Macaca fascicularis: one gene and its partner. The protein of the gene in region 1 interacts with the protein of each later gene in a pairwise test. Links are inferred from orthologs where the notes say so. Each region holds a gene or a part of one and is shown on either strand. Other genes may lie near its edges. The genes, in order: HOXA1 and SLIT1.

Region 1 (4,340 bases):
GTATCTCTTCTTCGTGAGCTCCTGGACTCTCCTTTCACTATATCCTACTTTCAAGGACAAGGGAGGAGAGAGCTGTACATATAGTTAGATAAAAGATGAGAAGATTCCTTCTGGCATGTTTCTGTTGGTAAAGGGAACTATTTTCCAAAAAGTCATCTGAAAGGAACAGTAGGTTCTGTGAATTCTCCTAAAATCAGGAGGGATGTTAAGGCCCACCAGAAAATGTGTGCTGGCACCCAATCTGGATTAAGGTGTTAACCCGGCACCAAGTCTCTGGTCCAGAATTATCTGCAAACATATTATCCTGGCCAGGAGCTCCCCAGATAGGATCAGAAAGGAAGAGACTGTAAATGGAAAGAAAGATAAGCTAAGCATGTGCTTTGGGTAAGAAGTCCCAGCCCAAGGAGATGCCTGGGCTGTGGTCTGGGACTGGAGCCGCCTTAGTGTGAGGTAGTCAGAGTGTCTGAGGTAGAAGACCCCGGGGAAGGAACGCAGGGCGAAGAGCTGGACTTCTCTGAGGATTCCTCAGCCTTCTCGTCGTTTCCTGGCGGGGTGGCTGGAGAGATGGGCAAGAGACCCTCCTTCTCACGTTTCTTTTGCTTCATTCGGCGGTTCTGGAACCAGATCTTCACTTGGGTCTCGTTAAGCTGCAGGGATGCAGCGATCTCCACCCTGCGGGCACGCGTCAGGTACTTGTTGAAGTGGAACTCCTTCTCCAGCTCCGTGAGCTGCTTGGTAGTGAAGTTGGTGCGCACCGCGTTGGGTTGACCCAGGTAGCCATACTCTCCAACTTTCCCTGGGGCAAAGTGGGAAGCCATGAGATGGAAAGGTAAAAATTTTTAAACCGACTTGAGATTACCTACACACTTCATGGCAACACTCAGGTAAAGAAAAGATCAAGAACTCAACACAAATCGGGCTGTGGAGGGTGAGTGATGAGGTGTAAAGTGTTAACCTGAAGTCAACCATTAGCGTGGTCAGATCGGTGATTAATGGAGCCTTAAGATATTAACAGAACACTACCGTCACAATAACCACCCCCACACACTTCCTACTTCCCAAATGTATAAAATCCTTGAGAACACGCCAATCCCTGAGGCTTCTTTGCCCCAACACCTCTGGGTACCCTCTCCATGCACTACAACACTAGTCTTAAAGCCTTTAAAAAAAAAGATAATTATTAATTTTCCTTGGAAATTAAGCATACCAGCTCCTTCCAGATTAATCAAGGAGCATCCACCAACCAGCAGGACTGACCTGTTTTGGGAGGGTTTCTTTTGACTTTCATCCAGTCAAAAGTCTGCGCTGGAGAAGATGTCTCCGATGCAGGGGAGCGACAGGCTTCTTGGTGGCTGGCGTGGAGAGGGGACAAGGAGTTATTATACGTAGCCAGGGCCAGGCTCTGGTGCTCTTGTCCATATGAGTGGTGAATGTACTGAGGCGAGCCCACCGCGCCCCCGGCATAACGCTGGTGGTGGTGGTGATGCTGTACCATGGGAGATGAGAGATTTCCAGAGTAAACAGCGGGAGCGCACTGGGGGTACCCACCACTTACGTCTGCTTCCTGGTTTAACGCGTAGGGGCTGTAAGGCGCACTGAAGTTCTGTGAGCCATAGCTTGGACCACAACTCGAGTGGGAGTAGGACACCCCCAGGTTCCCGGAAGTCTGGTAGGTAGCCGGCGGGGGGTGGTGATGGTGGTGGTGGTGGTGGTGGTGAGGCGAACCGATCTGCACCCCCCTGCCCACTAGGAAGCGGTCGTCGCCGCCGCAGCTGTTGGTACTGACCGCGCACGACTGGAAAGTTGTAATCCCATGGTCCGAGGGGTAGGCTTGGGCTGAGCAGGTCCCCGAGTCGCCACTGCTAAGGATGGGGTATTCCAGGAAGGAGTTCATTCTTGCATTGTCCATCTGTCACTGAGTGACCTGGTCCTGCGAAGCCCTGGGTGACCGTGCCAACTTTCTCACTTCCTCCATGGGGCCTGAGAAGAAAAATGATATGAATGTACAGTGCGCAAGAGGGGGGGGGCGGGAGGGCGGAGGACGCTAGGGGAGGGGCACGTGACGGTGTCAGCCAATGGCTGAGCCTCCTGCAAAAGTTTGCCGGCTTCCGCGGTGATGGATCACCGTTTCAGTGGCATTTAAATCCCCGGCGCTCCGCCGTCTAGGTGACGTGCAGTCGCCCCCCCAGGCAGCCCAGGCGGCGGCAGCTGCTGCGGCGACTGCAACGGCCGATTTGGAGTGCTGGAGCGAAGAAGAGCAAAGGCTGCCTTCTGCGCGCGCCCGACTCCGCTGCCCGCCCCGCCAGGCCTCCGGGAGGTGGGGGCTGAGAGGCGTCCCCCGCTCCCGCCCCCTCCCCACTGTGCACTGAAAGATGAACTGGCGAGAGGTGAGAAGGGAAGAGGGCTCCCGGCTCTCTCGGGGCGCGAGTTAGTGGGCCGGAGTTCGCCGGGTGGCCGCAGGTTCGCGGGCCCAGCCCGGAGCGCACCCAACCGGAAGGCGGGGAATCCGGCTGACACCGAGCCCCGGGTTCCCAGGCCGCCTTCTCTGCTCTGAGGCTGGGCTGGGAGACCATGGGGCTGTGAGGAGCGCACAGAACCGTGGCAGGGGGCGAGGCTGGGCCACCGGCTCTCCAAGCGCGGAATGGAGAGGGAAGAGCGCAGAGGGCTGGCTGGGAGGAACTCGGGTGGGGGTGAAGGAGACGAGGGCAAGAAAAGAAACTTCCCTTCTTCCAGGAGAGTCTCCGAAACCCTCTCCCCACAGCCCCCGCTCTTCATTAGCATGGCAATGAGGAGTTTCTGTAATTCGACCGGGGAAGGGGGGGTGCGGAAGAGCCCTGGAAACAGGGATTGCCGGAAAAGGCCGGGGGCGACCGGGCTCTTCTTCCCCACCCTCCCTCTCTCCTCGCTCTCCGCCGTTTCTTTCCCACTCAGTTTTGCAGCGGGAGCCCTCCGGGATGCGGAGCTACTCGACCGCCGGATTTTTAGGGGTAGGAGGCGGGGGAGAGAGATGACGCTGGCGGACGTGGCCAGCGTGGGGGCCGGGCCGTGCGCTGCAGGCCATCTGCCGGCGCCCGAGACCCAGGAGCCTCCGCTCCCGCGTGGGCCTCGCAGGGCCGGTCCACAGCTCCAACAAAGTAGCTGAACTCCCTTCGTTGCGTTCCTCTTTTTCTGGAGGGGAATGTTAGAAGAGAGAGAGAGCTTCCTTTTGTAACCTTCCTCATTCTGCTGCGCGTCTAGAGTGGGTGCGGGGACTGGCAGGTGGGAGGAGCGGTGGACAGATGGCTGATGGTGGACAGAACACTTTACCCCAACGACACCTCCTCCCCTTTCCAACTGGCTGGGTAGTTGCTTATGAGAACCTTCAAGTCTTTCCTTAGAGGGACACGTGAAAATCTGAGCGTCATCCCAGGCCAAGGGTCCTGTTCCCCATCACCCTCCTTCTACCCTGACGCTGCTGAGGTCGTTAATTGTTGTTTACTATTAGGTTTCACGTCAACCCTGGGCTTGTAGAGAGGAAAAAGCCAAACGGAGACCAATAATTGATGCAGTCTTGGGTAGGAGAAATCGAGAGCTCGTCCAGGAAGCTTTGCAGCCAATGCTGTATAAATTTTACTCCAACCATGTGTACAATGTTGGAATCAGATGGAATTTATAGTGAGGAATGTATGTGGGTTTGGGGTTTCCACTCCCCTTCAGCCTTTCCTCCCCTGTTAGAACAAGGAAGGTTTTTTTTTCAAGGCAGGCACATTTCAAATATGTTAGTCACCCTTTCAGTCTTCTGTATTCTGTTCTCCACCTACTGAAGCTCCCCCAAACCTGTCCCCTCAAGAGGGAAAACCCATGCTGACTCTGGACTCCCTCAGTAACAATGAAACATTCTCCCCAAACATTTCCTTTCAGGTTGGTATTTCTCTGTGACTTTGATCCATTCCAAGCATGGTTAAGAGGGAGCAGGGGCAGGAAAGAGCCGCTTCCTGGGGTTGGGCAGCCACCCCTGCCCCAGTTTCGGCTCCTGGGAATCATCCTTCTGGAGAAGGGGAAAGGCAAGGCGGTCCTCCTGGAGGTGGCTTCCTTGGGAGCGCCAGCTTCCAGCGGCAGGGAGAGAAAGAGCTCCTGTGGGGGAGTGGGCAGGATGTGAGGAGGTCGGTGCTGGCTATGAGAGCAATCCTTCCTCCAAGCCTGAGCAAGTCAGTACATTTTCCCCCGCTGCCTCATTCCTGTACCTTGGTTGCCCTCCTCAGCCTGGGTTTGCAGGACCCCCTCGGCTGCAGGGCGCCTGCCACAAAGCCGACCCCGGCAGGAGCCACTCTCCCTTTGCTAGTTCGCTGCTTCGGCGCTGC
Region 2 (3,808 bases), on another chromosome or scaffold:
TGTGGTCGTTGTCCCCGTTGTACAGAAGGATCCCATTGTCCTCTGCCGTGGAGACCTGATGGGCAGTGGCACTTTCTCTCCCACCCCACCCCATGCAGCAGCAGCACAGGCTAGCAGGTGGGGCAGAGAGGGCACCCAAGATTGGAAGAGAGATGCTCTGTGCAGAGCTCTCTTCCCCCACCTGGCCAGCCTCCCCAAGGCCATTCCTCCAGGGGGCGCCAACAGGGGCTGCAGCCTCTGGTTCAAGCCCCATCCACTGCCAGCCTGGCCAGGTCTGGGCAGGGAAGGGTGACGGGCCACTGAGGCCTGGAAACTCTGTGCCAGGAAAAGCAGCCAGGAGACCTCAGGACAATCTTCCCAGAGAGGAAAATTAGACTGGGACCCCTGTCTGGAGGGTGTGGGTAGCCCTGTTCTGTGGGCCTTGGGGAGCTAGCTGCTGAGTGGGGGAACTACAGAGAGGACAAGTTCAGGAAGGCTCTCTGACAGCCAGAGTCATCCAAGCCTAGTGGAAGGAGCCACTCAGAAGGTAGTGTCTGTCGCTGGAACCGTGCAAGCAAAATGAGATCTTTGCCTCAGGAGGGAGATCCCTCTAAGATGCTGTAGGAGCCATGATCATTTTTCCCTCTCTTGTCCTCCTCCCTCCATTTCTTCTGGTAAAGACCCTGAGCCCCCTGGTCTGTGGAGCTGGGCACATGACCCAGGCTGTCTAGTCATACTGTCCCATCTCCTTGGACTCAGCGGCTGGTTCAGAGATGGGCATGTGACTAACGCCAGGCCAATCAGAGATCTTCCTTGAGCTGACCAAATTAGAGCTGGCAAGGAAGAGCCTTTGTAAATCACTGTCCGGTAAAAAAAGATGAGGATAAACCAAGGACGTGCCCGAGGCAATGGCTGGTTAGGGTTTTGGTGAATTTTATTTTTGGCGGTTAGGCTAGCTGTTGTCTTGCCATGCAGACTATGTAAGTGGATAGGATGTTGGAGATGTGACGTAGGGGAAGAGAGCAGAATGCACATGTTTGAGAGGCTGAAGAGTTCTGAGAAAAAAGGAAAAGAGGACAAAAGAGAGGGAAGAAAGATGTGGCATTTGTGACAGGGAATGGAATTCGAGGGAAAGAGAAAGATGACTAAAGGAGAGTTTAACGTTCTTTATCATGTGCTGTGCAATATAAGCCACTCTCCTCTCCATCCCCCAAAAATATTTAGCAAAATATTGATATATTTCATCAATGCTGTTGAAGTGGGACTTGCTTTATTTTCCCCTCAATAGGAAGATGTTCTGAGATGGAACTGAAGGCATGAAAAGGACAATTTAAGGGACCCTAGGGACATACGGTTAAAGGTATAAGCCCAAAGTTAATTCTGGCCACGTTCCAGCCACACATAGAAAGCCCGTCTGCAGCATTGGAGGCAGACACTGAGGAGCAGCCTCCTCAAGAAATGGGACAAGAAATGGTGGGAGGGGATGATGGCAAGTCTGGTTTTCTGGATTCAGTTACCCATGAGACCACATCCACCCCTGCCCTGGTTTTGTGACACTATAACCTTTCTAATTGTGCTTAAATCAGTTCAAGCCGAGATTTTGATACCCATATGCAAAAAGTTTTGATTACACAGAGTCCTTCCAGTTCCCCAGGCACCATGCAGGGATGCATCTTGATGCTCTGGCCTAAGCCAGGGTCCCCTGCTCCCTGACTCCCCTCTGTGACCAAGCCCCCTGGCACGCACCTGCAATGTGATGTTGGCCCGTGGCCAGTTTTGCAGGTCAGTGAACTGCAGGTAAGTGTCCCGATCCACAAAGTTGACACTGAGCAACTTCTCACACTCAGGGCCACCGAAGCCTGGGAGGCACTGGCACACGGGCCTGTTGCCCTGGTCCACACAGTTGGCCCCATTCTGGCACTCAGTCCCCTCACAGGGGCTCTTGGGGGTAGGCAGATGGGGAGGGATCTCACAGAGCTGTCCACTGAGAGGAAAGGACACAAGTCAGAGAGGGCCGAGGAGGAAGGGGGTATCTTCCTCTCCCATAGCCCTGGAGAGAAATACACTAAACATCTTGAGAAAATGGATTCTTAAAGTGACAGAAGATGCTCCTAATAAACACTTTTCATGAGAGAGCTAAGAGCCAGAAGGATATCAGGATACAAGTATGGTCCCTGGTCCAGCAGCATCAACATTACCTGGACACTTGATAGAAATGGGAAACCCACTGAATCTGCTTTTTAACAAGATCCAAGGTGATTACTGACAACGTCAATAACTCTGCAAGCCAGATTTTACTATATACATTTTACAGAAAAGAAAACTGAGATTTAAGACACAAGCATAAAGAGGGAAGAGTCAAGTTACTAAAATAAGAAATAAAAGAAGGGACATTACTACCAACCTAATAGAAATACAATGAATTATAAAGGAATACTATGAACAATGATATACCAACAAACTAGATAACATAGATGAAACGCGCAAATTCCTAGAAATATGCAAACTACCAAAACTGAACCAAGAAAAAAATAGAAAATATGAATAGACCTATAACTAGTAAAGAAATTGAATTAGTAATCAGAAAATTCCCAGGCCCAGATAGTTTAACTGGTGAATTCTACCAACCATTTAAAAACAATAAATACCAATTCTTCACAAACTTGTCCAAAAAATAAAAAATGAAGGAACATTTTCTAACTCATTCTATGAGACCAGCATTACCCTGATACCAAAAACAAAGACATCACAACAAAAGATATCACAAAAAACTACAGACCAATATCTATTATAAATATTGTCACCAAAATCCTCAACAAATTACTAGCAAATCAAGTACAGCATAAAAAGGATTGTATACAATGACCAAGTGAGATTTATGCCAGAAATGCAAGGCTGGTTTGACCTCTGAAATTCAATTAATGGAATATATGACATTGATAGATGAAAAAGCAAAAAAAAAAAAAAAAAAGTTCATCTCAATAGATGCAGAAAATGCATTTGACAAACTTCAACATTCCTTCATGACAAAAACACTCCACAGACTAGGAATAGAAGTAAACTGCATCAACCTGATAAAGGGCATCTACAAAAAACACACAACTGACATCAAACTTAATAATGACTGAATTTTTTTCTCCTAAGATTAGGAACAACACAAGAATATTTGCTATCACAATTTCTATTCAATATTTTACTGGAGGTTCTAGCCGTGGCACTTAGGAAAAAGGGAAAGGAAAAGAAAGGAATGAAGGAAGAAGGGAGGGAGAGGGAGGGAGGGGGGAAGGGAGGGAGAGAGGGAAGGCAGGAAGGCAGGAAGGAAGGCAGGCAGGCAGGAAGGAAGGAAGGCAAGCAAGGGAAGGAGGGAAGGAAGGAGAAATAAAATGCATCCAGATGACATGATCTTGTATAAGAAAATCCTACAGAGTCCATTAAAATGCTATTAGAATTAATGAAATAATTCAGCAAGATTGTAGAATACCAGATTAATGCACAAAAATCAAACAAAAAATGAAATTAAGAAAACAATTCCTTTATAATACATCAAACAATAAAATACTTAAGAATAAATTTTTTAAGTGCAAAACATATACTTTGAAAACTATAAAATGTTGAAAGAAATTAAAGAAGATCTAAATAAATGGAAAGGCATTCATGTTCATGGATCAGTATGCTTAATATTGTTAAAATGGCAATACTGGGCCAGGCATGGTGGCTCACACCTGTAATCCCAGCACTTTGGGAGGCCGAGATGGGTGGATCACCTGAGGTCAGGAGTCCAAGGCCAGCCTGGCTAACATGGTGAAAACCAGTTTCTACTAAAAATACA

Evidence for each region.
Region 2: the proteins of HOXA1 (region 1) and SLIT1 interact in binary tests that used the Homo sapiens proteins (3 or more experiments, as listed by UniProt). The link is inferred for Macaca fascicularis from reciprocal best matches to the Homo sapiens genes HOXA1 and SLIT1.

The regions. Positions count from the first base shown.
Region 1 is NC_088377.1:103,176,138-103,180,477, reverse strand, and holds the start of HOXA1 (homeobox protein Hox-A1), read right to left. Parts: upstream 2,957-4,340; 5' UTR 2,126-2,956; intron 2,004-2,125; exon of another isoform or gene 1,981-2,003; 5' UTR 1,910-1,980; coding exon 1,258-1,909; intron 797-1,257; coding exon 441-796; 3' UTR 1-440. UniProt on the Homo sapiens protein: Sequence-specific transcription factor. Regulates multiple developmental processes including brainstem, inner and outer ear, abducens nerve and cardiovascular development and morphogenesis as well as cognition and behavior.
Region 2 is NC_088383.1:105,945,407-105,949,214, forward strand, and holds part of SLIT1 (slit homolog 1 protein), read right to left. Parts: intron 1,964-3,808; coding exon 1,726-1,963; intron 1,035-1,725; coding exon of another isoform or gene 927-1,034; exon of another isoform or gene 896-926; intron 56-895; coding exon 1-55. UniProt on the Homo sapiens protein: Thought to act as molecular guidance cue in cellular migration, and function appears to be mediated by interaction with roundabout homolog receptors.